7 linked regions of the Sus scrofa genome follow. The main gene of each other region encodes a partner of the protein of the gene in region 4 in a complex. Links are inferred from orthologs where the notes say so. Each region holds a gene or a part of one and is shown on either strand. Other genes may lie near its edges.

The links.
Region 1: SNRPD2 (region 4) and SNRPD3 share a complex: the UniProt entries of both Homo sapiens proteins name them as parts of the SMN-Sm complex. The link is inferred for Sus scrofa from reciprocal best matches to the Homo sapiens genes SNRPD2 and SNRPD3.
Region 2: SNRPD2 (region 4) and RBM48 share a complex: the UniProt entries of both Homo sapiens proteins name them as parts of the minor spliceosome. The link is inferred for Sus scrofa from reciprocal best matches to the Homo sapiens genes SNRPD2 and RBM48.
Region 3: SNRPD2 (region 4) and SF3B2 share a complex: the UniProt entries of both Homo sapiens proteins name them as parts of the minor spliceosome. The link is inferred for Sus scrofa from reciprocal best matches to the Homo sapiens genes SNRPD2 and SF3B2.
Region 5: SNRPD2 (region 4) and CRIPT share a complex: the UniProt entries of both Homo sapiens proteins name them as parts of the minor spliceosome. The link is inferred for Sus scrofa from reciprocal best matches to the Homo sapiens genes SNRPD2 and CRIPT.
Region 6: SNRPD2 (region 4) and LSM2 share a complex: the UniProt entries of both Homo sapiens proteins name them as parts of the U4/U6-U5 tri-snRNP complex. The link is inferred for Sus scrofa from reciprocal best matches to the Homo sapiens genes SNRPD2 and LSM2.
Region 7: SNRPD2 (region 4) and SRRM1 share a complex: the UniProt entries of both Homo sapiens proteins name them as parts of the minor spliceosome. The link is inferred for Sus scrofa from reciprocal best matches to the Homo sapiens genes SNRPD2 and SRRM1.

Annotation. Positions count from the first base shown.
Region 1 is NC_010456.5:49,584,276-49,588,286, reverse strand, and holds the start of SNRPD3 (small nuclear ribonucleoprotein Sm D3), read right to left. Parts: upstream 2,801-4,011; 5' UTR 2,403-2,800; intron 2,370-2,402; exon of another isoform or gene 2,241-2,369; intron 1,414-2,240; exon of another isoform or gene 1,359-1,413; intron 734-1,358; 5' UTR 716-733; coding exon 590-715; intron 1-589. Other genes in the region: protein GUCD1, read left to right, coding at 3,400-3,442. UniProt on the Homo sapiens protein: Plays a role in pre-mRNA splicing as a core component of the spliceosomal U1, U2, U4 and U5 small nuclear ribonucleoproteins (snRNPs), the building blocks of the spliceosome.
Region 2 is NC_010451.4:72,443,369-72,447,610, reverse strand, and holds the start of RBM48 (RNA-binding protein 48), read right to left. Parts: upstream 2,801-4,242; coding exon 2,657-2,800; intron 2,120-2,656; coding exon 1,929-2,119; intron 1-1,928. Other genes in the region: PEX1 (peroxisome biogenesis factor 1), read left to right, coding at 2,995-3,243. UniProt on the Homo sapiens protein: As a component of the minor spliceosome, involved in the splicing of U12-type introns in pre-mRNAs.
Region 3 is NC_010444.4:6,278,539-6,281,094, forward strand, and holds the end of SF3B2 (splicing factor 3B subunit 2), read right to left. Parts: intron 1,482-2,556; coding exon 1,382-1,481; intron 1,277-1,381; coding exon 1,091-1,276; intron 753-1,090; coding exon 681-752; 3' UTR 501-680; downstream 1-500. UniProt on the Homo sapiens protein: Component of the 17S U2 SnRNP complex of the spliceosome, a large ribonucleoprotein complex that removes introns from transcribed pre-mRNAs.
Region 4 is NC_010448.4:52,039,675-52,043,648, forward strand, and holds the start of SNRPD2 (small nuclear ribonucleoprotein Sm D2), read right to left. Parts: upstream 2,801-3,974; 5' UTR 2,727-2,800; coding exon 2,725-2,726; exon of another isoform or gene 1,826-2,724; coding exon of another isoform or gene 1,758-1,825; intron 1,329-1,757; coding exon 1,149-1,328; intron 1-1,148. Other genes in the region: QPCTL (glutaminyl-peptide cyclotransferase-like protein), read left to right, coding at 3,558-3,767. UniProt on the Homo sapiens protein: Plays a role in pre-mRNA splicing as a core component of the spliceosomal U1, U2, U4 and U5 small nuclear ribonucleoproteins (snRNPs), the building blocks of the spliceosome.
Region 5 is NC_010445.4:93,923,117-93,927,265, forward strand, and holds the start of CRIPT (cysteine-rich PDZ-binding protein), read right to left. Parts: upstream 2,801-4,149; 5' UTR 2,667-2,800; coding exon 2,651-2,666; intron 727-2,650; coding exon 661-726; intron 1-660. UniProt on the Homo sapiens protein: As a component of the minor spliceosome, involved in the splicing of U12-type introns in pre-mRNAs. Involved in the cytoskeletal anchoring of DLG4 in excitatory synapses.
Region 6 is NC_010449.5:23,905,724-23,909,849, reverse strand, and holds the start of LSM2 (U6 snRNA-associated Sm-like protein LSm2), read left to right. Parts: upstream 1-1,326; 5' UTR 1,327-1,552; coding exon 1,553-1,555; intron 1,556-2,164; coding exon 2,165-2,232; intron 2,233-4,126. UniProt on the Homo sapiens protein: Plays a role in pre-mRNA splicing as component of the U4/U6-U5 tri-snRNP complex that is involved in spliceosome assembly, and as component of the precatalytic spliceosome (spliceosome B complex).
Region 7 is NC_010448.4:82,307,795-82,311,991, forward strand, and holds the start of SRRM1 (serine/arginine repetitive matrix protein 1), read left to right. Parts: upstream 1-1,397; 5' UTR 1,398-1,672; coding exon 1,673-1,693; intron 1,694-1,728; exon of another isoform or gene 1,729-2,071; intron 2,072-4,197. UniProt on the Homo sapiens protein: Part of pre- and post-splicing multiprotein mRNP complexes. As a component of the minor spliceosome, involved in the splicing of U12-type introns in pre-mRNAs. Involved in numerous pre-mRNA processing events.

The sequences.
Region 1 (4,011 bases), on a different chromosome or scaffold from region 4:
TCAAAGTACTGCCATCAGAAGGGCACCACGTCAAGAAATGGCTTCAATATTTATTAGCAAGTAAGTACAGTAATTAAGTCCTTTAATCTTATCTTTCCCATTTTATGGATGACAAAGCTATCATCAAAACCTTCTTACCTCACAGGGTAGCTGCTATAAATGCAATCAAAGAAGATACCTCCCCCAAGAAGAATGGCAAATAACTACCATATATAAGTGGAAGATTTACATATGGTATCCAAACCACATGGTATGCAAACTGCAAAGCAATGGGCAAACAAGTAGGGATGAGTTACTAGCGACCCTGAACCTAATGGTTCTACTGAACATTGTGCTACTTCTCTTAAACAGGCCCCGAGATATGGGAGAAAACGGTTTATGGGGTTGGGAAACAAAGGACAAAATTAAATATTCCAAATGGCTCTTACCTATGCCCACATCCCTGGTATCTGGAACAGTGCCTGGCATTCACTAAGCTCTCAGTAACTGCTGAATGAGAACTTCAAAAAGACCCTCAATCACCAGCTTTCTGTCCTCCAAGACACAGGCTCAAGCTCCCCCCAATAGGCTCATGTGCAAAGCAGGATACCTGGCAGTTCATGTTGTCCTCGGCTTCAATGAGCTTCCCTCGGTACACCTCTCCCGTGTTCGTCTCACAGGTCACAATGTGCCCCTCAGCCTCATGTAGGACTTTAATCGGCACACCAATAGACATCTCGGCAGGAAGAGAATTCTACAGAGAGAGAGAGAGAGAGAGAGAGATAAGAGTTCATGGTTCAGGGCCTGAGAGGCATGTGGCACAAGCCTCACTCAAGGCTGGACACTCTGTAACACTCAGCAAAAATGCCAAAGGCGTGTTTTTTTTTTTAACTTTATTTTTTTTGCTTTTTAGGGCTGCGCCCCCAGCATATGGAAGTTCCCAGGCTAGGGGTTGAATAGAGGCTACAGCTGCTGGGTTATGCCACAGCCACAGCAACACAGGATCTGAGGCACATCTGCGATTACACAGCTCACAGCAATGCCAGACCCTTAACCCACTGAGCAAGGCCAGGGGGCAAACCCACATTCTCATGGATCCTAGTCAAGTTCGTTAACCACTGAGCCAGGAAGGGAACTCCCAAAGGAACTTGAAAAAGTAGCTTAACCCCAGCTTGAAGAACATATCTAGCAAACAAGATGCAAGATTGGGTGGGGAGGAACAGGGGGGCTAGACAGAGGGAAAGCTAACAGGAATGAAAAGACTGCCTCTCATCTCCCTGCTACCACAGGTCCCTTTATCTTTATCAAATAACTATGTTGCAGCAGAGGGGGTTGGAAGGCAGGTGTACTTGTTAACCCAAAGCAGTGGGTAACATCACCTTGAGAACGTAGGACGTAGACCTGAGCTGTCCAAAACAGTAACCACTGCAAGTTCTGAAATTGAATAAAATTAAAATGAAATAAGGAGCTCCAGCTGTGGCGCAATGTGGTCTGAGGCATTTCTGGAGCCCTGGGACACTGGTTCGATCCTTGGCCCACCATAGTGGGTTGCTGCAGCTTCGAGGAAGGTGGAAACCATGGCTTGGATCTGATCCGTGGCCAGGGAACGCCATATACCTCAGGGTGGCAAAAAAAAAAAAAAAAAAAAAAGAACGAAAATTAAAATCAAGAAGAGTCCATGCATTTAATTCAACCCAGTAAGTGCTCTTTGACTCTCCATTTACTTCACCATCAAAGTTAAAGAGAAAATATCAAAGTATTCACAAAGTGATAATGTGCTACACACAGGAAATGCTTATCTTGGAGAAAAAAGGGAATCAAGGCAAGCCTGACTTGACCTTAAAAGAGGAAAGCTGTCGGTTTTTAAATTCCAAAATGGTCAGCTGAAAGGTGGAATACATCTCCTGCATAAAGAGAAAAAGGAAGAGCAGTGAAAGAGACAGGCGCCCTTCGTGAGAAGCCTCAGAAGTGTAGATTTTATGCTGAACGCAATGGGAGAACCACGGCAGGACTATAGGGAAGGAATTATCCCTGGGAAAGGCAGCAGCACTTACAAAATGGTTCGAACACAGCTTAGATGCAGGGAAACTTGAAAGAAGCTTGTGTAACGGTGTAGAAAGCATGAGGGGGCGGATGGAGGCAGGGAAGCAAAGGACTTGGGAAGGAAGCAACTAGCCAGAAACGACCTCAAGACCATTGCCTGGATGCTTCGAAAAACACTGGCCTGGGGAGGTATGGAAACTGAAGGAAAAGCTAACGACCTCACTTCCAAGCGCTAGTGAGGCGACACTGTCTGGTGGCCCGGCTTCCCGCTCCTGTCCCTCGGCGAGCCCCGCGGAGCTCCTCGGCAGCGCGTCCTTCTCCAACCCTCTACTCCTCCGAGTGCCTCGGCCTCCCCACGCCCGCCCCCAGCCTCCCCTCACCGCCTGAGGTCTCCTCCTCCTTCCCGGTGCGGCCGCGACTCTGCCGACTGCGAAGCGTGAGACAAGCGAATGGCGGGTCCCGCGCTCCCAGAATACCACGCGTTCCCAAAATGCCTCGCGCAGGGCCCGCCCTCTTCCTTTTCCCAGTGGTGAGCGCGGTCTCGTCCTCGCTTCCACCTCACCCCACCGGCTGGGAAACTCGGTCTGTGGTTCAAGAGTTCCGGCCCCGGAAGACTGATGACTGGACCCAGGTGCCGCCGGAAACACCGACCCTCGGGCCGGCAAGGGCAGAGAGGGACTCGCTTTTCCAAACACCTCACACCGGCGACGGGCTGGACGGCGAGGCGGGGATCGGGGGAGGCAGCGGTGGGGCCGAGGGCCAGGACCTCCCCTCACAATTTAACCTTCGGAACCCGGCAGTGCCAGGTAAAGGGACCCCTGAGCGGAGAGGGAGACAGGAGCAGAGCGGGTGCCGGCCCTCGGCCGTCCCTCCAAAGAGAGTCGAGGTGGGGCTGGGTCTCCCGGCCCCGAGGCTGGCGGAGGAGTAGGACCTGGCAGAGGCGGAGCTTGCCGGGGGCTCTGGGGAGCCCGCGTTCGTGGAACTCCCGGGCCTGGGCGGGGCTTCCGGGGAGCGGGGCGGGAAGGGCTGCGCGTCCGCGCCAGGCCTCGGAGGTCGGGGCGGCAACCCTGGGAGCTGACACTTTGAGCGGCCGGGACCAGCGGAGACAGGAGCCTGGGAGCCTGAGGGCTTGAGGGCCAGAGGAGGCGGGGGCGGGCCGGGGCGGGGCCCAGGGCGGACGGGGCGGGCCAAGGCCTGGAAGGGCCGGGGCGGGGCTTGGGGCGGCCCAGCTGCCGCCTCCCCTTCTCCCCACCGTGCTGGCAGTGGCGGTGGCGGCCCAGGAACCCGGGGACTAGCGGCCCCGCTCCCGCCCCAGACGAGGCCGAAGCTGCAGCCGGCGCCGGGCCGGGGCCATGGGAGCCCCGCGCCGCCCACGTCATGAGGACGGAGGGGGAGGCATCGGGGCCGCCGCTCGAGCCCGGTCAGTGCTCCCTGAGGGCTTAGCCCTCATCCAGGGGAACAGGGGGGCCCACCCTAGCAGCGGTCAGGGTCCGGCCGCGTGACCTTGGACCGACGGCCGCCATGTCCTAGGCTGTAGAGCTTTGAGTGAAGTCTGGCCAGGTGTACACCCCGCCTTGGCTCCCGCAGCGCCAACCGCGGTCTGCTGGGGTTTCCTGATACTCCCAGGGCTGGAACCCCAGGCAGCTCTGATGGCGGTCTTGGTGGGAGGGTCCTGGTTGAGAGGCTGGGGCGGCAGCTTCCCCAGAAGCGAAAAGTCCTGCTGAAGCTGCCGTGAGAGATCCTGTCCCCTCGGGGAACTGAGGCCTAGAAGGGCAGGGAACTGGCAGGGAGCATAGAGCAATGGGGGAGGCCCCCCCCCCCGGCCTCCCAGACTCAGTGTTTTGTCTTGCTAGAGTTCTTCACTCTAGTTCCTTATGTCCCAGGTGGCCTGTGTTCCCTTGCAGGCAGAAACCAAAACTCAGGTTGTGTGTGAACCTCGGTTTGCTTTGCTAAATTGGGGAGGGAGAGAGCAGTAATTCCTGCTCTGGT
Region 2 (4,242 bases), on a different chromosome or scaffold from region 4:
TTTGATCCCTGGCCTTGCTCAATGGGTTGGAGATCTGGCACTGTGAGCTGTGGTGTATATCGCAGACACAGCTGTGGTGTATATCGCAGATCCCGCCTTGCTGTGCCAGCAACTGTAGCTCCGATTCAACCCCTAGCCTAGGAACTTCTATGTGCCGCAGTGTGGCCCTAAAAAGCAAAAAAATAAATAAAAAGCAAAGTCCAGGTTTTGCCAAGTGTATATACATCTTATACTTAGGGAATAAGAATTTCTGCTTGTGGACAGCATGACTCTACTGATCCAGTGCCTACTCTTAGAGCCTTTCTTTCCCTCTCCCTAGTCTTAATAGGTTTCAAGTCATCCATACCTATCCAGACTCCCTTTAACCAATACTGGATCCAGCTGGTTGGCCTGAGGTACACAATCTGTGGTTATGAAATAGAGATTTTTCTCTATGTTAAATGGCTCTTGAGCGTTAGCTCATACTTATTTTAGCCTTTTTGGCACAATGTGTTCCTATAATGGGATTCATATTTAAGAAATTAATAAAATATTGAAATTGTAACATTCAATAATGGAGGAAATATTGAATATATAACAATCAATGAGAATGGTATTCATTCAACAAATAATTTTTAAACATCTGTGACTGGCCAGGAATTACTACAATAAATAAGCACTTCAGTGCCCAGGGAAAATGATAAATACTTACTGAGATTTTACCACATCCCAGGCAGTGACCAAAGTGCTTAAGTGCTTCTCTTGAATTAACACAACAACCCTCTGATGAAACTGAAGCCTAGAGAGATTTATAACTTGGCCATTCTCACATTAGCTTTTGGAGCTAAGATTCAAATCCAGATGTCACACTGCATGACCTACTGTACCAGGTGGAGTGAGAGATGCAAAACTCCTTAAAATACACAATGAGAAAATATCCCTAACCATGAGGAGCTGACAAATTGGTTAGGGTAGTGAGATTATATATAACGGCAACCTGAGAACAACACACGATGACATTAACCCAAGTGATTTATGGCAGAAAGACTACAAGGGCTATCTGTAGCACAGAAAAGAAAATATGAATTCTAACAGCCAAGAGAAGATGGGTCTTGGAGCCTATCAATAAGAATAGGAGTCAACATAAAAAGAGCCAAGGCCCCAAGTAGAAAGGAAGAAGAGGGTTAAATTGGGGATTTGGGATTAACAGCTACACACTACTATATGTAAAACAGATAAACAACAAGGACCTACTGGTTAGCACAGGGAACTCTATTCAATATCCTGCAATAACTTATAAAGGAAAATAATTTGAAAAGGAATGTGTGTGTGTATACACACACAAATAGGTATATGTGTGTGTGTGTGTATAACTGAAACACTTTGCTGTACACCTGAAAGGTTGTAAATCAACACTTTCATTTTTTAAAATGAGGGAAAAAAGAGATAGGGCATTTCGTACTTAATTGTTGGAGAAAATTTTATGTTATATAGAAGGAGATTCAATTACACAGGTCCATAAAATAAGAGATCCAATACCTAATGTTTACTGCCTTCTGAATAGAAGGCACTGTGCTAAGCCCTATACATGGATCCATGTCATCCTCACACAACCTCCGTAAGTAGGTCCTTTTACCATACTGGTGTCTAAAGAATAAGAAAACAGTCTTAATGGGGTCAAGTAACCTGTCCATGGTCATGATGTTAGTAAACAGTGAAACTTGAAAATTTACTCCCAAACCAATTTTTAATCTACCATACTACACACACAAAAAAATTGTTAAGCATGGGAATGACGTGATAGAAAGAGTTTGGTAGGGCTAACATTTAAAAAGACTAGAAGAATACAGGGTCATGTTAGTTACTGGGTAATTCAGAAATGAATGAGGGAGGCCAAATGTAGGCAACGGGAATGGAGAAAATGAGACACTGTTTAACTTGCATATTACCTTGCACTTTGTAAATTGAGAAATTTAATAAGATAAACTTCTGTAAAGTCTTCTGCTGGGTATTCATCTAGAGCATTATACTGTTCAATTGCACCATACAAAGCAAATCGCTCAACTAATTCCTTCATGGCTCCGACTGCAGGAACTCCTTGTATTAATAAGTACCGAGATTCCAAATTGATCGTGTAAACCTATAAGAAATCAGACACATTAAATGTATTTCACAAAGAAGCCTGGGACAAATCTAATCCTATATTTTTTTAAAGTTGAAAAAAACACCTTTCGACTGGTTTGCATAAAAACAGGAAATCTAAAAACTTGCCCCTCTCTCTACATAATGAATAGTTTACCCTTCTTGCAAAGGCCTTTAGCTAAAGCACGTAACATTATCTTCCATCAATGTGTTTTCCACAAATTAGCTCGGTAGAAGTTACAGGGACGAGTTAACAAGTATTCGCTGAGCGTTTACCATGTAACAAGGACCACTGTAAACACGGAAGATACAGTGACTGAAACACAGCCCTCTTCTCACGGAGCTGAGGTTCTAGCAGTAGACTAAAGAGCACTCAAGCATCTTTGGTACTTGAGTACCAGCGTTTTTCATATTCTTCTTCAGTTAATCGATGTGACCGCAGCCTCTCAAGATGTTATTTACGTAAGCTGGGCATGTGAAGCTGGAACTCACAGAAAGCTACCGGGGATAGCGATTGAAACCAAAGTCACTTTACCCTGACAGCGCGAGGGCGGCGCCCCTCTCGATACTTGGCCCGCGAGTCGCATACAGCCCTTTGGACGTGGTGATCGAATAAGCCTCCTAGCTGCCCGCCGCTCAACGCCATCTTGCCGGTGTTATCCCTCGCGAACGACAACATCCGCCCCGTTGCCCCACCGTTTACCCAATAAGAGAGAGGGGTGAGTTAAGGCGTTCCGAGATTGGCTGAAGAATCGACACCGTCGGCCATCGTTTCCTGTGAGCGAGGATTTGGTGAAGAACGTGTCGCCCCCCAGCGGCGCGGCGGAAAGGCCCTGAGAACAGGCGCAGGCGTGCTGGCCCCTCCCGCTCCGGATGCGCCGCGGGGCCTTAGGGGGCGGGGCCGATCGATCGTCTCCGGGTCCGACGCCCGCGACCTGCGGGGTTGGCCCGGGAAAGATAGGTTGGGCGGCTGGGGGTCGGTGCCTGCAGACAATGTGGGGCGGCGATCGCCTGGCGGGTGCTGGCGGAGGCGGGGCGGCCGTGACGGTGGCCTTCACCAACGCTCGCGACTGCTTCCTCCACTTGCCGCGGCGCCTTGTGGCCCAGCTACACCTGCTGCAGGTAAGGCGCCCGCTTGGTGCCGGGCTCTCACCACCGACTTGGGACAGCTGCTGGCCAGTCTGCGGTCGGCCGAGACCCAGGCCTTTTAGGGACGCAGCGGCCGCTCAGGCCTCTCCCGGCGGCGGGATTAGGGCTGCTTTCCCAGCCCCGCCGACCGGTTCAGAGGCCACACTGAGGACCCCTTGCGGGCAGGGCTGGCCTGGGCGCTCTTGACAGCCACATCACGTCTAGTGCAGCACGGCTTCTTTGAGTTGACCTGCTGTATTCCAGGTCTTTTACTCGCCGGAACTGGGCTTTGAAACGCCCCGATATTCTCCCTCTTCGTTCAACTATTCCTCACTCCAGGTTGGAAAAGCTCTTGAGAAGTCGGGTTTGTTTGTCTTTTGGGATTCTGTTCTGTTTTGTTTCATTATTAGAAAACGTTTTTCCTGCCAGCGATTTCCAGGTGCTTGCATGGCTGTGGTCCCGGCCTTCAGAAAGAGGGGCGGACTTGGTTTGTGAAGTCTCTATTGGTTAACAGAGGTGGAGCCCTGTGTCCCACGAGCGGGATAGATTAATATGAACCTTCTTCCTGTGTCTCCAAACACCTCCGGGGTGCTCCAGGAATGTGCTGTGGGAGTATGCATACTTGGTCATAGGTAGTTAGAATTCCTTGAACCTCTGTTTTCACTTGCGCTCTGCACCTTGTGGTTGTGGCGGTTCATAGCTCTAACACTTGCATGGTTACAGAGATGCAACATCTGTATTTTCCTAATTGTAAAGTGGAGACACCTGGTTTACGAGTTTGAGCGTGCTTGCTTAAGGGGCTAAAAGGATAGGCTGTTTGAAATCTTCGAAAATCCTGAATGCATAGTACCCACTGGTTTGCAGTAATTTCAACAGTTTGCAATAATTTCAAATATCTCCCTTTTCCATTTTAGCTACTTCTCTGTAACTCCTTTTCTAGAGTATTTTCCCCTATCTTTCATAGCACATTAATTTCAACAGATCCTGCCATTA
Region 3 (2,556 bases), on a different chromosome or scaffold from region 4:
AAGCTGGCTATTTTTAGTCCCCAAGGACACAGTGGTAAGGTCAAACCAGACCTAAAAGTCCTTCCCCCAGAGCCTTCCTACAAAGCAGGCAGTGGTAAAACACACAATCTCAGATTTAGCTTCAGCACCAGTCTCAACTGCCACACCTGATCCGGTGCCTGCCCCGTCATCACTGGAGCAACTTGTTGTAGAAAATGATTTTTTTTTTTTTTTCCAGGACCACACCCATGGCATATGGCGATTCCCAGGCTAGGGGTGGAATCAGAGCTACAGCTGCCAGCTACAGCCACAGCCACAGCCACTCAGAATCCAAGCCACATCCGTGACCTACACCATAGCTCACGGCAACGCCGGATCCTTGACCCACTGAGCAAGGACAGGGATGGAACCCGCATCCTCATGGATACTGATCAGGTTCATTACCACTGAGCCATGACGGGAACTCCTGTTAATTCTTTGGCAGGAAGGCACTAAAAGAAGACAGAGGAGGATCAGGAGCGTTAAATGTTCATCTCTTTCCTTGGGAAACAGCTTTATTTACAAAACAGGTCTAAAATAAGAACATGAACCTGAAAGGACAAGCCCTGGGGAGTAACAGGAGAGCTGGCTCTTGGGTATCCATGTGCGAAGCCCAGGTGTCCGGCAAAGGGCCTAAAGGAGGGCCGGGCGTGTGAGGGGACCTAAAATTTGAACTCCTTATATTTCTTGCTGCCCCCACGGCTGTCCTGGGGCTGAGCTTTCCGTTTCTTTTGCTGTAGGAGAGAAAGAGGAACAGGTTACAACAGGTTAAACAACCTGCTGCTCCCCAAACAAGGGTGCCCGACACAAGCACACAGGTCTGCAGAAAAAGCACTGCGACTGGATGCTCAAACCCGAGTGAGTCCCTCTCCCTCCCTGCACCTCAGCTGCATCTTCCTTCAAGAGGGTGGCCCGAGGGAGGATCTCCAAGGTTTCCAGCATCTGGGAAGCTCAGGGCAGCAGGCAGTGTGTCCTCTCGCTCCCTCACCACTAGAGGACACCACTGCGCTGACAAAGGAGGCCCTGCTCCCTGGCGCTCCCATAGCCAGCCTCCCGGGGAGTGAGCGCCCACCTTCTGCTTGGCAGCATGCTCAGCCACCATGTCGCTGAAGTCCTCTTTCTCCACTTGGGCCTGCTGCTCCCGCACGTGCTCCTCATACTTCTGGGTCATGGCCATGGGATCCAGCTCCAACTCTTCGGGTGCCAGGGCCACTTCCACACCTTGCAGCTCGGGGGCTGGGCCCTTCCGGCTCATAACCTGGAAAAGGAATCAGAGCCCTGTCACCTCCAAAGAGACACTCCAAGAGAAGCCCTCGCTCCCACGCTTTCCGAACCCCCAGAGCAGCGTCCTCTGAGTGCCCACCGTGGACATGTCATAGATGTGGGTCGATCCCATCATGGCCCCTCCAACGGTGGCTGTTCTCTTCTCCGGCAACACAGTGAAGAGCTGCGGTGTCTCACTTCTGCAAAGGACAAAGGCGTCAGGCCCATAAAGGCAGGGAAGACAGGGTCTCCAGAAGGGAAAACAAAAGGAACACAGGCAGCACCCCCACCGAGCTCCTGGAGAAAATCCAAGACACCCAGGGAACAATGGTGCCCACGCTGCCTCTACAGGTCCCAAAGACCCATGAGAGTGAAAAGTGCCACCTATTTCAAGCATCCTACTTGAGGAGTTCCCCAGCGGCCTCGTGGGGTGAGGAGCCGACGTTGTCACTGCTGTGGTGCAGGTTCAATCCCTGGCCTGGGAACTCTGGAAACTTCTGCATAACCAAAAGTGCAGCCAAAGAAAAAAGAAAAGAAAAATTCTACTTGAATGCAAAAACAAATCTAATATCAACCCAGACCATGGGTTCTTCCCTACCTCGCCCAGGAAGAAGTGAAAATTTATTTCCACAAAGCAGCCAGACAGACACCGAGAAAGAGAATTCAGATCCTGTCGCTCCTTTGTTCCAGACCCCCTCAGGCTTCCAATCACTGTCTGAATAAACCCACTTTACCCGGGTCTAAGGGCGTCAGACTTGGTCCCCTACTTAATCCCCGCTCGCTACATTCCAGCCACAGGACCCGTCGTCCTTTTTCTTGCTTGAATATGCATAACTTGAGACTTCTGTTTCCAGACAAGAAGTAACAGGGATCAGATTTACCCTCCCACCTGAAACAGTCAAAAAATGGGCGAAATAGATGAAACAGTGGTTTTCACGTCATTGGACGTGAAACAACAAAGGACCGTGATTCCTGAGATGCAGGAAACACGCGAGGCGATTCCTTCCACTGCGCACCTACTGCACCGAGTGTCCAGGCCACAGACGGAGGCGGGGGAACTGCTACAGAGCCCAGAGGACACCAGGAGTTGAAGGGATGAAGCTGAAAATGCAGGGAGACTAAGGCGATCAGAGATCCCAGGACAGAGAACTGGAGAAGAGGAATCCCCCAAGCTCTCGGGGGAGGTCCGCACGGGGGGAGCTACCAAGGCAGGGAAAGAACCACCACCGGAAGGACGAGTGGCAACAGACACGCCTGCTGCTCCCTTGGGACTGG
Region 4 (3,974 bases):
AAGGCCAGGGATCGAACCTGCGCCCTCATGAATGCTAGTAGGGATCATTTACCGCTGAGCCACAAAGGGAACTCCTGCCGATCATATGTTTACTGAGCCTTTGCCACATGTTAGGTACTGAGTTAAGTGCTCTTCCTACAGAAAATCATTTGACCCTTACGACTGTTCTGAGGGGTATTATTCTATGCATAGTATTTTGCAGATAAGGAAACTGAGGCCCAGAGAGGAAAAATCACTTGCTGCTCCCCATGGCTGAAACATGCAGACCCTAGGTTGCACCTTCGTTTTATCCCCATCTGTCCACCTAGAAGGCCTCCTGCATGACCCACCGAGGACAGCAGCACTCCCTCTCCACACTCCAAACTCTCAGCTGGCTCTACTCTTCTGCACAGACTTTGCCATCACTTGTCTTCCTGACACATTATGTGTTTGCTGTAGACTCCCCTGAGTACAGGAGGCATGTATGATTCAGTCACCATGGCATCTCTGGAGCCTAAGACAGTACCCCACAAGGGCAGAGGCCACTGTGCACGAACTGAGAAAACTGATGAGGAAGACCGTGTGCCGGGGGCGCTACTCCTAAGGACTGACTGTGCTTCACATATATTAAGTGACTGAATCTTTGCAACCATCAAGATTACGGCCATTGTAGGGAAGAGATATATGGTCCCTTGCTGAATGTCACACGGCTGCTAAGAGGCAGAGCCAGGACATCATTCCAGGACTGGCCCCCAAGTCCATGGCTGAACTTTACAGCTGGAGGAACAACAGAGACCGTCACAACAGGCACTCTTTTTTTTAAGCCCACACCGGAAGCATATGGAGGTTCCCAGGCTAGGGTTCAAATCGGAGCTACCGCTGCCGGCCTACACCACAACCACAGACATGGGATCTGAGCCACACCTGCGACCTACACCACAGCTCACTGCAATGCCGGATCCTTAACCCACTGAGGAAGGCCAAGGATCGAACCTGTGTCCTCATGGATACTGGTTGGGTTCGTTAACCACTGAGACATGACAGGAACCCCACCTTCAGACGCTTATGCCCCAGGCTTCTAAGAAACCTAGAATCCAGGCTCCTCAGACTAGAGCTGGGACTGCTTCTCCAGGCCAGGACAGACCACCTCCCCAGACCCAGGTGCTCACCTGTCAAAGGCCTTCACGCGGCCCAGGAGCTTCTTGTTGTTGCGGCAGTTGATGAGCACTTGGGTGTTGTTCTTGACCGACTGTGTGAGCACGGACAGCGGCCCCGTGTTAAACTCCTCCTCCTCCCGCTTCTGCAGCTCCTCTGGCGTCATCTCACTCTTGGGCTTGTTGAGGAGGCTCCTGAGTGGGCAAGTATGGAACTCATAGGTGACAGGGCCTGGAGCCAGAGCCTGGGTGGTCATGCCCTCTCGCTCACTGTCTCCCCAACACACCCACCCTCCGGCTCAGTCCTCTCTCTTAGCATCACCACACAGCTGCCTAATAGACAGTTCCAAGCTTGCACGTCCTAGGCTGAACACCAGGCCCCGCGGTACCCCCAAACTTAATCTACCTACAGCTGCCTTCGTCTCCATCCATGGCAACTCCATCTTGCTATGTCTTTGAGCAAAACCTCTAACGTCAACTTGACTCTTCTTACTCTCACATCCTACATTCAATCTGCTGGCAAATCCCATCATCCCTGCCTCTCAAATATATCGGAATCTGACCACTTCTCACCATGGCTTAACCTCCATCGACTCTCTCCTAGAGCCGTAATGGTCTCCCTACCTCCACCCATGCTCTCCAAGTTTGCTCTTCACAGAGCAGTCTCTGGTTGGTGCCAAGGTCCAAGTCATATCATCTCACTCTGCGAAACTCTCTTGAGGCTCCTATCTCAATGTAGAAAGTAAAAACCCTTTATCCGCTGCCTTCTCTCACTCCGTTCCATCCAGAGGGGTGTCTTGGAAGATTTTCAGCAACTTTCTTCTTAGGCTTCTGCATTTGCTTTTCCCCCTTTACCTGGATACGTCCCTAAATATCTTTGTGCGCTCACTTTCTCCAGCTTTCTGCTCCAGTTGCTCCCTTCTTCATGTGTCCTGTCTCTCAAAACTGGCATTCCACATTGTTTTACCCTGCTCTACTGTTTCTTCATTCATAGCCCCGGTCACCTAACACACCATATATTTTACCTTTACATTTATTGCCTGGCTCAACCCAACCCATAAAATGCAAAATGGAATTTTTTCCCTTGGGGGAGTGGGGTAATTCACTAACATATTCTGTGTCTAAAGAAGCCTGACATATGAACACTCAATAAATAATTGTTGCATGAATACGTAAGTAAAATCCTTCCGATAACTCGAGACCCATGATAACGACGAATAAGGTCAAAAGGCTAACCGTCTCCAGCTCAAATTACCCTGATAAGATCCTCACTTCAAATCGTTCTTCCCCACATGTCCGTACTCCCCTCTCCCAGGTTCCATTTTCGTACATCGCTTCCCCTTAACATTCGCTTCAGTAAGACTAATTATTTGGGAAAGCCCAGCCCGTTATCTGATAAAGCTGCTCCTGCTCCTAAAGTCAGGATCCGAAAAAGGCCCCACATCTGTTCTCAAACTCATCGGTAACGTACGCCACTTTACCCCGAAAATGTTTGCTTCCGCCCCAGGCTCTGCCCACCCCCTTCCACCGGCAAGTGGCCAGATTTACACCCTCAACCCACTCCTGCCACCTAAGCCTAGCCCGGCCTCACATGGCGGTGGCAGTAGTTGTCGCGACCGCGCACTCCAGTCACCACCGTCTCCGCGTTGCTTCTTCGCCCTCTGAAAGGAGCGAGAAGGGCGGGACTTCCGCTTCCTGAGGCCCACTTCCGTGGGCGCTTGCGCAAACACAGCTAGTGGGTGGGGCGTGGCCTGTTGCCATAGCGATCTCTGCTCGCCACAGGCGGCTGTAGGGTAAAACTCTTACGTACTACTTTGAGGCCATTCAGGACTGTACCGGGCAGATATTGACGATGGAGAGGAAGAGAAAGCAGGACTTATTCAAACCATTTCGTTGTAGAACCGCACAGGTTGAAGGAGGGAAAGGACAAGCCATTTCCAAATGCCCGCCGGCCCTGCCTTCGGGGGCGCGGCATCCACGAAGCCAATCGGCTCCTCGCTTCAGGGATGGATACCTCCTCTTCTACTTAGGGGACCGTCCGTTTATGTGTTTGTTAATCCTTTGGACTTGGAATAACCAATCCTTTGCTTACATCCGGGAGGGGCGTGGACCCGCGCCCAGGAGGTCGGCTGTTTTCTAGGATCAAATGCTTCTCATTGGCTTCCCCTCTTCCGCTGAGGCGGTGCCTACCTCTTTCGCGCTCCCTTTTGGGTTGTGCAACCCTCAGGGGAACCAACCCTTAAGCTTCAGGGAGACAGGGAGGCGTGTCCTCAGTACGAAAGTCCCCATTGGCTTTACTGCTTGCTGAAGGGTGGGTTGGTGCAGCCGCTCTTGTTGCTTATTGGTCCGGTGATTCCATGGGGTGGGACTTGGCTGGCCTAAACTCCATCCGCAGTCCCCGACCGGTTTCAGGGCGAAGCTGCCATGCGTTCAGGGGGCCGCGGGCGGCCCCGGCTACGGCTTGGGGAACGCGGCCTTTTGGAGCCACCCTCACCGCCCAAGCGCCGCCTGCTACCGCGGGCGCAGCTGTTGCCCCTGCTGTTGCTGGCGCTGGCGGTGGCCTCGGTGTTCTATACCATTTGGAGCGGCTGGCACCGCCAGACTGAGGAGCTGCCTCTGGGCCGGGAGATGCGGGTGAGGCCGGACGGGGACAGGGGAGCCCTTATTCCCCGCCTCCCCCTCCTCAAAGTCTCAGGTTGACGTGGCTTTATCGTTATCGTGGGGCCCTAGCCGCAGGTGCCGCGATCTTCGTCGTTAGAGCGCATGCCCCTTTCCAATGCAATGAGGCTTCGGGCTTTTTCTATAATAGCGGTTGCACCGTAAGAGGAAGGGTCTGGAGTA
Region 5 (4,149 bases), on a different chromosome or scaffold from region 4:
TAATTAATGATTGTGAAGGTGAAAACATTTAAATGATTTGTTCAAGAATATAAAAACCAGGTGAGGAAAGGGGGATTTAAATAATAACTCTAGGAGTTCCCATCATGGCGCAGTGGTTAACGAATCCGACTAGGAACCATGAGGTTGTGGGTTCGATCCCTGGCCTCGCTCAGTGGGTCAAGGATCCGGTGTTGCTGTGAGCTGTGGTGTAGGTTTGCAGATGCGGCTTGAATCCCATATTGCTGTGGCTCTGGCACAGGCCAACAGCGACAGCTGCGATTAGACCCTAGACTGGGAACCTCCACATGCCTTGGAGCAGCCCAAGAAAAGGCAAAAAGACAAAAAACAAACAAACAAAAAATAATAATAATAACTCTAGTTAGGCTGAACCAAATCAGTTACTATGATATACTCATTGCTTAAAAATCATTCAATTATCTCTATTTCCTGACTACCAAATTAGGAACCCTGACATGTCACTAAGAAAACTAAGGAGATGAAGTTATTAAATTGTTGTGGGGGGGAATGTCCAGTATTCTTTAATATTTAATAGATGAAATATGCTGTATGCTTAACAACATTTTACAAATAATGTAAAAGCTAAAACATTATTCACAGGAAGTATCTGATTTAATTTCTATGTTCTAAAAGGAAAAATACCTGTGGTATTCCTTGCACCATCTTTCCATGTATCTGGAGTGATAACAGTACCAAGTTTCTTTTCACCTGTTATAACAAGATAACAAAAGTGGGGGGGGGTTAGCATTACTATCTAATAAATACACTACATTGTGCCTTAAGTTTACAATGGTATTAATATTCATATTACATACAAATCTGTTATTGCTGAGGCTTGGGGCCAGTGAACTGAGACTTATGATACTAATTGTGGGCCATGGATAACTGACTCTCAGTCAAATCTGTGGATAATAGTATGGCCTATAATAGGCTTGTTTCTGTACATTAATGCTTTAAACAAATCTGATAAATCTGTTCATTTACTAAATATCAGTGATATATAAACCATTGTACAAAGTACAGAGAAAAATAAAATGAATTAGATAAGGCTCTAGATTTCAAGGAGTTTACATCATACTGATTTATCTCTAACAACAGTTCTTAACCTGAGTTTTCACATGTGGACCTTAGGAAATACATGAACAAGATGAAACTGAACACAAACCTCTGTATATCCATTTTTTTTTTAATAGACTCTGTTAAGTCCACAGCTTTTGTCACATTCTCAAAGGGCTCCGAGAACAACAACAAAAGTTTAGCATTATTCAACTGAAAGTAAACAGTATGTTAAGAGCTGAAGTACTAAGATACATTCCATGGAGGAAGAAATAACCTTGACTAGGGAAATCCAGGAAAGCTTTGTGAAGAAGGCAGTAGAGAGGGTTTGTGGTAATGAGACCATGAAGAAAAAGGAGAAAGGAGGATGAAGGTAAACTGGATAAAGGACACATCCTGATAAAAGGCGTGGAGAACTCGAGGTACATGCAGTCAGGCAAAATAGTTTGGCTTGGCTGAACTGTAAAGATGGTAAGGGTTAGTGAAAATAAAGTTAAAAAGGTAAGATGTGGCCTCATTGTAGAGGGTCATCCTGAATGCCAGTCTCCAGATACAGAAATCCCAAATTATTCTCTGCACCTTGAGAATGTATTAAAGTAACTGTCATGGTCATTCTTTCACCTAATCTGAAAACTGTGATTCAAATTCTGTGTTCAAAGCTATAAGGCTTTATATACTGTGGGGGGGGGGTAAACGAAATGGATCAAGTTAATTAGATGATAATCAAACTGACGATAATCAAATTAAGAGGACATGTTTAGACTCAGGAAAACGGGAATAAGACTGCTCTTTTTAAATACACAACCAGTTTGTGGGAGCAAAAATATCAAATCTCAGAGGGTGGTATTAGAATTACTGGACGGCAACTAGAAGAAGGAAAGACCTTTCTAAAAGCCAGTAAAATCAACACGGACTGCTTCCAAGGTGGTGAGATTCTCCTACACACCGGCCACCATTCCTCAATACTCTGGGTATTCGTTCAAGGACCATTTAAGCACTCACAGCATGTGGAAGTTCCTGGGCCAGGTATGGAACCCTGCGCCAAAAGTTAGATTTAAATTTCAAATAAACAATGAATACTTTTTCAGTAGACAATGTCCTAAAAGTAAGTGCCTTGCTTTACAGCAGTAAGGAGCAGCAAACAGAGCCAAATCTCAAATATTGCATAGGACGCACACTAAAAATTATTCTTGGTTTACCTGAAATTCAAATTTAACTGGGCGTCCAGTACTTTTATTTGCTAAACCTAGCAACTCCAGTTGCTGTGGAAGCGACTTTTAAGATCCATTTCAACCTGAAGCTCTGAAATGAGGGAGCCAGTCAAGAAGCTCAGGGGTTGAACGAAAACAATGGAAACAGACAAGGAGGTGCAAAACAGACAAGGAGACCACCCTGAATGCAACAAACGGAGGACTATACGGTCGATGGAGAGGCAGGAATGGTCAAAGGGCAGGACAGAACAGAGGCTAGAATCAGAGACTTGTGGCCAAAGTAAAAACAAAGGAATAAAGTCCCGGGGAACTCCAGTTAGGTTGTCCCAGCCTTCTTCTCCCGCAGAAGAGTTTCCTTAACTCACATTTTTCGCACACCATCCTTTCGCGACGATTCCCTCAGTCGCAGTAGGATCGGGAGCTGGAAACCATCAACACCACAGCTGAGAAAACACTCCCCTTCCGGGTTATGAAAGTCCACTTCCGGATCCTCCGCCCCGCCTATTCTACACCTGGAAAGCCGCGGGAGGAATAAAGGAGAGCGGGAAGGCGGGGCTTCCTTCTTGGCCCACCTCTCCACTTCTGCGATTGGTTGTGAGGCCTTCGGTCTCCGCCCTGCTGGCCTGCGCCTGCGCGAGACTCAGGGCGGCGAGTTGCACCTGATGGTGGGAGGTAGTAGCCCTCCCGTTCTCTTCCGCGAGCGGGAGAGTTAGGTAAGCCCAGCCGGACGCTCCCGGCGCACGAGCCTCCAGCGGCTGCAAGCCACCCCCGCCAATTGCCCAACTGATCGGAAATCTCTGCTACCAATAGGCCCTTGCCCGCGGGCCCCTCGAGCGCCGCCCTTCCGGCGTGACCCAGGGGCTGCCCCGATGAACTGGCTCTTTTTCAGTTCCGACTTTCTGTGTTTGTCCCGCCGTTTCTCTTGGTCTTTACGCCTGTGCTCTTTGATTATGCTTCTCAGCTTGTCCCTTTCTGCCCACAGTCGGCTGGGGCTTGGGCAGAGTCCGCAGCGACCCAGTTTGGGATGGGGCTGGAGATTACGGTCCCACGATTCCCGCGAAGGCGCCTCCAGGAGCCTTTCAGAATGGCCCTCTCTTCCGCTGCAAGGCTTGAGGATCTGGGCCAGGTCAGACCACGGGCACCTGGGCAATAGCTGCCCCAGGGGGCACCTGGCGGAAGTCCTCCTGAGCTCTCCAAGGCCTAATATAAGGCTGGTTTCTCAGGAAGGGCAACTCTGCACCTACTCTTCGTTCATTCACTCATTCACGCAGCATTAAGTTTGTGTATTGCTCACTGTCTTATGTACAAATCTGCTCCTGTCAATTGGGATTTTGAGGGTGGCCCAGAAGAAGATAGGACCGGTGAGAAAGATTTCCTTTCTCCTTTCTTGCCATTCATACCTCCTAGTATATATCTATATCATCAAAAAGGTTAGCTAGGGTTTGAAATGGCTTTAGCACTTGGGACCTTGGTAGCTTGCAATGTTTACTAATCTCTGCTAGTCTTTTTCCTTATCAGTAATGTATTTTCTTTTGAAAAATATAGTGTGAATAAATGAGAGTGTTAGGATAAGGCCTGGATTTGCCCTTTTACCCTTTTATATATACGCACACGTACACATATATGTGTGTGTATATATATGGGGTTTTATTCTGGACTAGTCACCACAGTGTGACACGTGGACTCCTTACTTAACATTAGTCAATACTACATATAAGCTCTCTGTTAGATAATTTGTAAATACATGCATACATAAAATAGATATATAGAGATGGGAGAGAGAGAAAGTAAAATTTTTTTTCCCTTTTCATGAAGCTCTTCTTTTCATTGGAATCTAGCGTCTGACATTGCCATTTTGGTATTT
Region 6 (4,126 bases), on a different chromosome or scaffold from region 4:
CAGGGATAGACTGATTTAGGTGCTTAGGGTTCAGAGGTACAAACTTCTGCTTGATGTCCTGGTGTTACTTATCAGTGGGGTCTGTCACTCACAGGGTCCCTTATTACATCCTTTACATGCTGAAAATATTTCTACAACAAACTCCTAACAAATGGGTAGTGAGGTTTTTTGTTTTGTTTTGTTTTGTTTGTTTGTTTGTTTGTTTGTTTTGCTTTTTAGGGCTGCACCTGTGGCATATGAAAATTCCCAGGCTAGGGGTCCAAGCAGAGCTGTAGCTGCCAGCCTAGGCCACAGCCACAGCCACAAGGGATCTGAGCCACCCTCTGCATCCTACACCACAGCTCATGGCAATACCGGATCCCTGACTCAGAGTGAGGCATTGAACCTGCATCCTCATGGATAATAGGTTAATTTACACTGTGCCACAATGGGAACTCCCAGATGGATGCTTTTTTGCAAGATTAGAAACAGAGAATTTAGGAGTTCCCATCGTGGCACAGCAGAAACAAATCCGACTAGGAACCATAAGGTTGTGGGTTCAATCCTTGGCCTCGCTCAGTGGGTTGAGAATCCATTATTGCCATGAGATGAGTTGTAGTGTAGGTCGTAGACGCGGCTAGGATCCTGTGTTGCTGTGGCTCTGTCCTAGGCCGGCAGCTATAGCTCCATTGGACCCCTAGCCGGGGAACCTCCATATGCTGTGGGTGCGGCCCTAAAAAGACCAAAAAAGAAAAAGGAGAAAATGGAGAATTTATTTGGATCTCATTCCTTGAAAAAAAAATTTCACCTTTTGCGTCATCGCATACTGATAATGCTTTGGGGACATGAGTATAGAAATACATGTAACTGTGAATTTGTGTCCCTTTGTGTTTGAGAGGGCAATGTTTGGAAGTGAAATATCAGAATGGGTATTTCTATCCCTGAGTCAGTCGGTTTTGCTTTACTCAGCCCCTTACAGGAAAGCCCTAGGCAAAAGCGTAAAAGAAATGTGGACTGAGGTTGGGTTCTCAGGAGAAATAAGTTTATCGGGAACCTTTGACAAAATCGGATTTGTGTGCAGGTTCCTGATCTTGGGAACTCAAACATTTTTACTTTTATCAAAGTGTAAGAGACATAGAAAAGTGTACAAATCATCATGGGTTTTCACAAACGCCCAGTTTGCAATAGTAAGTGTCTTCAGGGTATGAGCAAATCATGCTGGAACCACACTATTTTTAAAAGGAAGAAAACTTGAAAGCCGGGGGAGCCGTCAGAGCCCGAGCCTGCGCAGTGGGAGCCGGCCGCTTGGGGAGGAAGTCGGAAGGCGGGAAGCCCCGCCCCTTCCCTGGCTTTCGCGTCCCCTCGGTCCTACCCCGCCCGCTCTGCTTGTAGCCGGAGCGCACGGTCCGCTCTCCTCCGTCACCCTGAGCTTTCCGCGGCGCTTCCCGCCGCCCCTGCGCAACCCCGCCCCGCCTCGCGCGCGGCCTTGTGCTCCGGTTCCCGCCCGGCCTCCGGACCGCGGTACCCGGCCCTCGCCTTCCCGGTCAGGCGGGCATCCCGCGGTGCAAGCACAATGGTAGGTACCGTGATGTCACAAGGGGGCGCCCTCGGGGAGCGCGACCGTTGGGATGGTTGGGGACGGAGACGGGGTCGCGGGGCGGCGGCGGGGCGGGGGGGCCCTCCGGGAGCTTTGTTCCTTTGGGCTGACGTTGGGCCCTGGGATTTTTCTCTCCCTCCTTACTTCCTGCAAATCAGGTTCGTTGGGGAGAGACCTCAAAACGAATGGGTCTTATTTGTTTGAGTCGGCGGGAACAGCAGGAGAGGGAAAAGCTAGACCTCAAGGAGCACTTCCCTGACAGACCAGGCCCCGAGAGGGTGCGGGTGTTACACTTGGTACCCTTCACTGGGTAGTGGGGGCAGGACGCCGGGAGAGGTGGTCCACTGAGAGCCGAGCCCGAGGCGTGCGGGCCAGAGCCTCTCTCCCGGGCTTTAGGTCAGGCGCTCGAGGTAGTAATCACCGGGGCTCCAGCCGTTTTTCCGAGTATTCTTTCCTCTTAAGTTTTGAGAACTGCCAGAGAGATGCGGCGGGGATCCCCAGGACCAGTATCTCATAATACTGGCCGGGGAACACGCCTCTGCCCAAGTCCCTTCCCATATGATGTTTTTTCCCCCTCTCGCCCAATAGCTCTTCTATTCCTTTTTCAAGTCCCTTGTGGGCAAGGATGTGGTCGTGGAACTCAAGAATGACCTGAGGTAGGTACCTGTTCCGACAAGTCTGTAGGGGGTGGATGTGCCCAGCCCTCCGGAACAACCTCTTTAATTTGACAAGTATTTGAGGGCTGGGCAAGATGGGAGAGAGACAAACGAAAGAAATGACTTGTGCCTTAAACTGACAGATTAGCTGCAGAGTTTTATCTTTATGGGAAGAAGATCCAAAGAAAAATGTAAGTACTAGAAAGAAGTCAGGGGGCAGAGGCATCAATCACTTTTTTTTAATAAAAGTTTTTTCTGATGAAATCACATGGTCCTTTGACCCAAATTCTAGAAATGTAAGTATTGACTCCAGAAGTAAAGATTTATGTACAAAAATTTTGGTAGTTTTTTTTTTGTTTGTTTGTTTTAATAGTCAAAAATTGGTGGAGGGGAGCCATTAATAGGGAATGGGTTATGGAGTACCCTTGTGGTGCAGCAGGTTGAGGATGTGGCGTTGTCATTGCTGTGGCACGGGTTCCATCCCTGGCCTGGGACTTTTCACATGCCACAGGCACAGCCAAAAAAATAAAATAAAATAGGGAATGGGGAGTTCCCGTCGTGGAGCAGTGGTTAACGAATCTGACTAAGAACCATGAGGTTGCGGGTTTGGTCCTTGCCCTTGCTCAGTGGGTTAACGATCCGGCGTTGCCGTGAGCTGTGGTGTAGGTTGCAGACGTGGCTCGGATCCCGAGTTGCTGTGGCTCTGGTGTAGGCCAGTGGCTACAACTCCAATTGGACCCCTAGCCTGGGAACCTCCATATGCTGCGGGAGCAGCCCAAAGAAATAGCAAAAAAAGACCAAAAAAAAAAAAAAATAGGGAATGGGTTAGATTTTGGTATTTCCATTAAAGGCAGCTGCCACATGGAAATGAGTTGTATTAATATGGAAAGCTGTTGCAGAATCATCTATGTGGTATAATTGCCCTTTTGTTGTAGACAGTATAAAAGATAAACAGATGACCAGTGCAGTCCCTTGTGTCTGTACTGTTTTTACATCCCTCGTCCCCTTGTATCATTAACTTCAAATCATCTTTTAGGACGTGGATTAAATGCTGTATCCTTGCACTTTCCTGGTTCTTCTAGGCCATAGACACTTCTATCATATAGAGTCTTTCCTTTCTAGTGGGTGCTTCTCAAACTGTGATTTCATAGAAATGTATTTACTGTTTAGGGCTGGTCTTCTATAGGGCCAAGATGTGTTTAAGCGCCCACTGTGTACCTGTGTCTAGCACAGCCCTGGTATAGAGTAGGTGCCTAATGTGTTCTGAAGGGGAAAACAAAAGCTAACATTTGAGGCTCTCCTATAGACTAAGCACTACTCTGAATACTCATTTATTAACTCATTTAATTCTCTGAACACCTCTACATGACATATACTGTTGTTGCTGTTTTACATGAGGAAACTGAAGCTTGACTAGGTTAGGAAACTTGGTTAAGTCTATACAACTAGTAAAGGACAAAGCCAGAACTTAAATCCCTTTCTGCCTGCCCCTCATCCTTTTTTGTTGTTGTTGTTTAATTAAGAACAGGGTCATACTCTGTGCAATTGTAAAACTTGCTTTTTCACCTGACACTATGTTGTGGATATCTTCCATCTCAATAAAGTTGATCTTTAACGTTCTTAATGTCTGAAAGGTGCTTTTTTTTTTTTGAAATGGCTGCACCTGTGACAAATGGAAGTTCCCAGGCTAGGGATTCAATCTGAGCTAGATCCTTTAATCTCCTGTACCAAGCTGAAGATCAGACTCACACCTCTGTAAGGACCCTAGCCGATGTAGTCGGATTTTTTTGTGGGTTTTTTTTGTTTTGTTTTGTTTTGTTTTCTTGGTTTAGGGACACATGTGCAGCATATGGAAGTTCCCAGGCTAGGGGTCAAATTGGAGCTGCAGCTGCTG
Region 7 (4,197 bases), about 30 Mb from region 4:
GTTTTCCAACGGGCTCACTCTGGTGCATTTAGAACAGATGCTGATCCGCAAGGGTAGAAGCAGGGAAACCAGATAGGAGGCTAGGGCAGAAGTTCAGGCCAAAGATGATGGTGCTTTGAACCTAGACGATAGCAGAGTGGGTTTCTTGATGGTTTGGCAGTGAGATGTGGGAGGAAGAGGAGTCCAGCTTTTTTTTTTTCTTTTTTAGGGCCACACCTTTGGCATACGGAAGTTCTCAGGCTAGGGTTCGAATGGGAGCTACAGCCGCAGGCCTATGCCACAACCACAGCAACAGGAGATCCTTACCCTCCTGTGCAAGGACAGGGATCGAATCCGTGTCATCATGGATACTAGTAGGGATTTGTTACCAATGAGCCACAATGGGAACTCCAAGAGGAATCGAGATTAACAACCAAGGCTTGTATCTTAAACAAAAGGAAAGATACTGCCATCAACTGAGGTAGGGAAGACTTTGGGAGGGACAGGTCGGGTTTTTGGCCTGGTGGAGGGTGGAGGGAGGGAGTTCCAGGCAGAACAGGAGAAACGAGGAGCCCAGTTCCTACTTATGTTACGTTCGTGACGTCTGTCCAAGCGGAAACATTGAACAGGACGTTGCCAATACATGTTCGAAGCTCAGAGGAGAGGCCTTGAGCTGGAAACCTATGAAGTTGTTGGCAGAATTGGTATTTGAAGCCAAGAGAGTGAATACATTGTGAACAAAAATCAGGAAAGGGAGGCAAGTGTGTGTTGGGGGGGGTGTGTGTGTGTGGTTACGTTACAAAAGATGGCTAGAGAAGGGTCACATGTTCCCTTTCAGAGAAAAAGAGAGTGCATAAAGGAAAGGAGGCAGAAGGCATCCGGTTGCAGGCCCTCGCAGCCAGAGCTGGGCCGGTGAGGCACACGTGAGCTCCGAAAGTCCCGAAGCCTGAAGGCCGGCTTCCTTTCCGTCAGACTCTGCCCGGGGGCCCCGGCTCTCATCAGCTTCCTGCCGGTTCCGAAACTCATCTAACGGACATTTCCAGCTTCTCCCCAAAGCTAAGGAGTTGTAGCGGAAGTCGAGGGTGCGGGACCAAAACGCAGATTTCATTCATAGTACAGAGCTCGACTACTTCAGGGCCGACCTCGATAACTGGAAACTCGTAAAAGCAACACAATCACAACTTTTCTAACGAAAGCGGAGGCCGCAGGCTTCTCCTCTGCGCAAGAGCGGCCTCACAAGCGTCACCCTGAGGTAACAGCCTTTCTCCACAAGCTCTCCATGGAGCCCCCCCCCGGGGGGGGGCAGAAAGCCGCCCCCACTACGGGTCGAAGGAAGGGTCAATTCACGCTGAGCGAACAAGGCTGGTTAAGCGCCACAAAAGGTTTTGCAGGGCGGGGCGACCGGACGACACTCTCTTGCTCGCTCCCATTGGCTGTGGTCGCGAGGCTCTCCTCAAGGACTGGCCACTGGAGAAGCTCGGAGTCCGGTAGCAGCCCGCCTCCCGGAACGCGCGTGCGCACACTTGGCGAGCGCTCTCCACACTGAGCAAGCGCGGCCTCGTGTCCGCTGGAAGGGCGGGTGGAGCAGCGCGAGCTGCGTCCCGGCGCTCGGCTTTCCCTGCCGGTCCCGCCCTCCGTCGCGGTGGCGCGGTGCACCTTGGGATAGGGAGCGATCTCCGAGCGAGGCAGCAAGATGGACGCGGGATTCTTCCGCGTAAGTAGGAGCGCGGGGATCTGGGGTGAGGTGAGGGGCTTATCGAAAAGGCCCAGCAGGAGGCCTAAACTCGAGATGGGGTGGCCAGCGAGCGGAGACTTCGAAGATCCTGAGGATCCTCGTTGCCAGTGGACGCTTCCCCACTACCCTGCGGCGGGGACCGGTGCGCCCCTGCGCAGTCTCCTCCTCCGGGATCGTCCCCCCTACGCGGCAGCGACGGTCGCCGGAAAATGGCGGCGGGAATGGGCCTGAGCGGTACCTTCCCGCCCGCCTCCCTGGCAGGGCCTGCAGGGAGAGCCGCGCGCCCCACCGGGTCCTGGGGCCTAGCGGACCCGCGAGGAGGAAGTCCCTGGGGGGAGGCCGGAGGGAAACCCTGAGGTGACTGGCGGCAGGAGGGCCCTGGGGAGGACAGGTTTGGGGGTACCGCCTCAGGAGAGCGGGTGAGAGGACCGGAAGCAGCCTTGAGCCGCTTTTCTTGAGAAAGCGGGCACCAAACCCCCTCCCCCCGCGCCTCGCGCGCCCTCCCTCTTGGTCTAAGCCTTCCCGAAGGCTCCGGGTCAGAGTTCGCGGGAGCTCCCGCCCAATTTGATAGCCCTTCAGGGAGGGGAATGCAGATAATTTGTAGTTAGAACGTTTGAGTCTGAGACTCCAGGCAGAGGGTGCAACAAAAAGTATGCGCGTTTGTGGAGGCAGGGGTATGGAGTGGATCTACTCTTCGTTCCCGCTCACCGCCCCCCACCCCCTGTGAACGTTCTCTTGAAAATCTTTTTGGTGAAAAGGTTCCTCTTGATTCTCGCCCATCACCTGGAGATGGGGACGTTTTCTCGTCGTAGTTGGCCCTCAGGGCCCATACTTTTACCGGGCGCGTGCTGGACTCTTTTGGTCCCCTTTTACACTCCCGTAGGACCCATTCGAGATCTCGATGGGTGGGAAGTGACACTGATTGGACTAGAGTTTGCAAATTCTTTTTAAGGCAGAACGGACCATATAGAGACCAGTTGATTTAAGTCAGAATCTGTAGTGCATATTGGCTCTTTCCATTCCCTGGAGCATGTTACATGCAGTTTCTGTGTGTTTAAAGGAAAAGATAAAAGAGGGTAAGACCGGGACTTTAAGATATGTCTTGACACTCCAAAGCTAGCATTGAAATGCCTTTTGTCTTGGCTTTAAATGTGCCAACTAGTTTTTCATTAAAGGTTGAAGTGTTATTCCAAGAATTTGATACAGCCGGTTGTTTGATTGTTCTTAGGTTATGCAAACAGTACTATAGTTATTTATGTAATGATCGTTTCCAGTGAGTTTATATCAAATTTTCACACTGCAGATGAACTCTCCATTTTGTGATTTCCATCAAAGTTTTTTTGTGGTAAATACTCAACATATCCTGTAGTCTGAATGTATTCTTTTGAAACAAGTCTGTTCTTTTAATTTTTTCTTGTTATTGTCACTTTCCCTCGGAAGAGAGTTCCAACAGAAAAAGAACAAAGTGGCTGTTTTAAGAATGAGATTTGCTTTTAGTGTTGGTAAAAATCTGGAAGGAAAGGGCAGTGTTTTATATATTGCCTTGGGTTCTTAGAGAAGTTGATTAGATTTGAGCTCTGAATTAAAGATTTTAGGGCAGTTATTCTTTTAGTACACTTCCATCGAGTAATAGACTGAATTTTTCAGTTAAGATGGAAATAGTACCTTTCATTTGCTGAACTTCTGCCACACACCAGTTACTTTATGTATATCGTTTCGGATATTCTCAGCCTTGGGAGGTAGGTTTTAGCAAGTTAGGGAAAGTTTCTCAGACAGGTTAAGTAACTTGCTTTGAGGTCATGTGGTTTACATAGTGACAGAGTTGGGATTCTAATCAGGTTCTTTACTTTCTTAAAAGAATTTTCTCGATCACTTTCCAAAGGATTAGTGGCCAACTCTGAGAACTGATCAGTAGATTTCTTTTTTTTGATGGGCAAGAAGTGGGTTAAGATAAAAAGCGCTTGCGAGAGATACAGGCTGGCAGGCAAGGAGGCTCTCCCAATCAGTAGATTTCATATCACATTGTATATCCGGGTTTAATTGGGTCAGTAGGAATGACAAAATGCAGTCTGGTGGTTACTTGATGGTCTGGTATGTTTGTAAGCTCTCACTTTTTTCCAGTTTGTTTGCAGAAATTGAGTTTATATGGTAGACCTTTATTTTTTATGCACTCTGAGTTCTTCAAGTTGTGAAAACTTAACATACAGTCTTAGGTTCTTCCTTTTTCTGTGTTTATATGCATTGCCACAATAATTTTGTAAGATGATCCTGGCTTTCAGAAGAGGATGAAATGGTCTCGTTTGTAAAGTATAGAAAGTGCTCTCTTTTGAACAAACAAAAAAACCCCTTAAATGCTTTATTAGCATAGAAAGGGGTGTAAAAAGATACATAGCAAACTTGGTTGTGAGGGGGGTGTTTTATGTTGTATTCTATATTGCTGGACTTAATACAATGAATGTATGTTTTGTGTTTTTTAAATACAA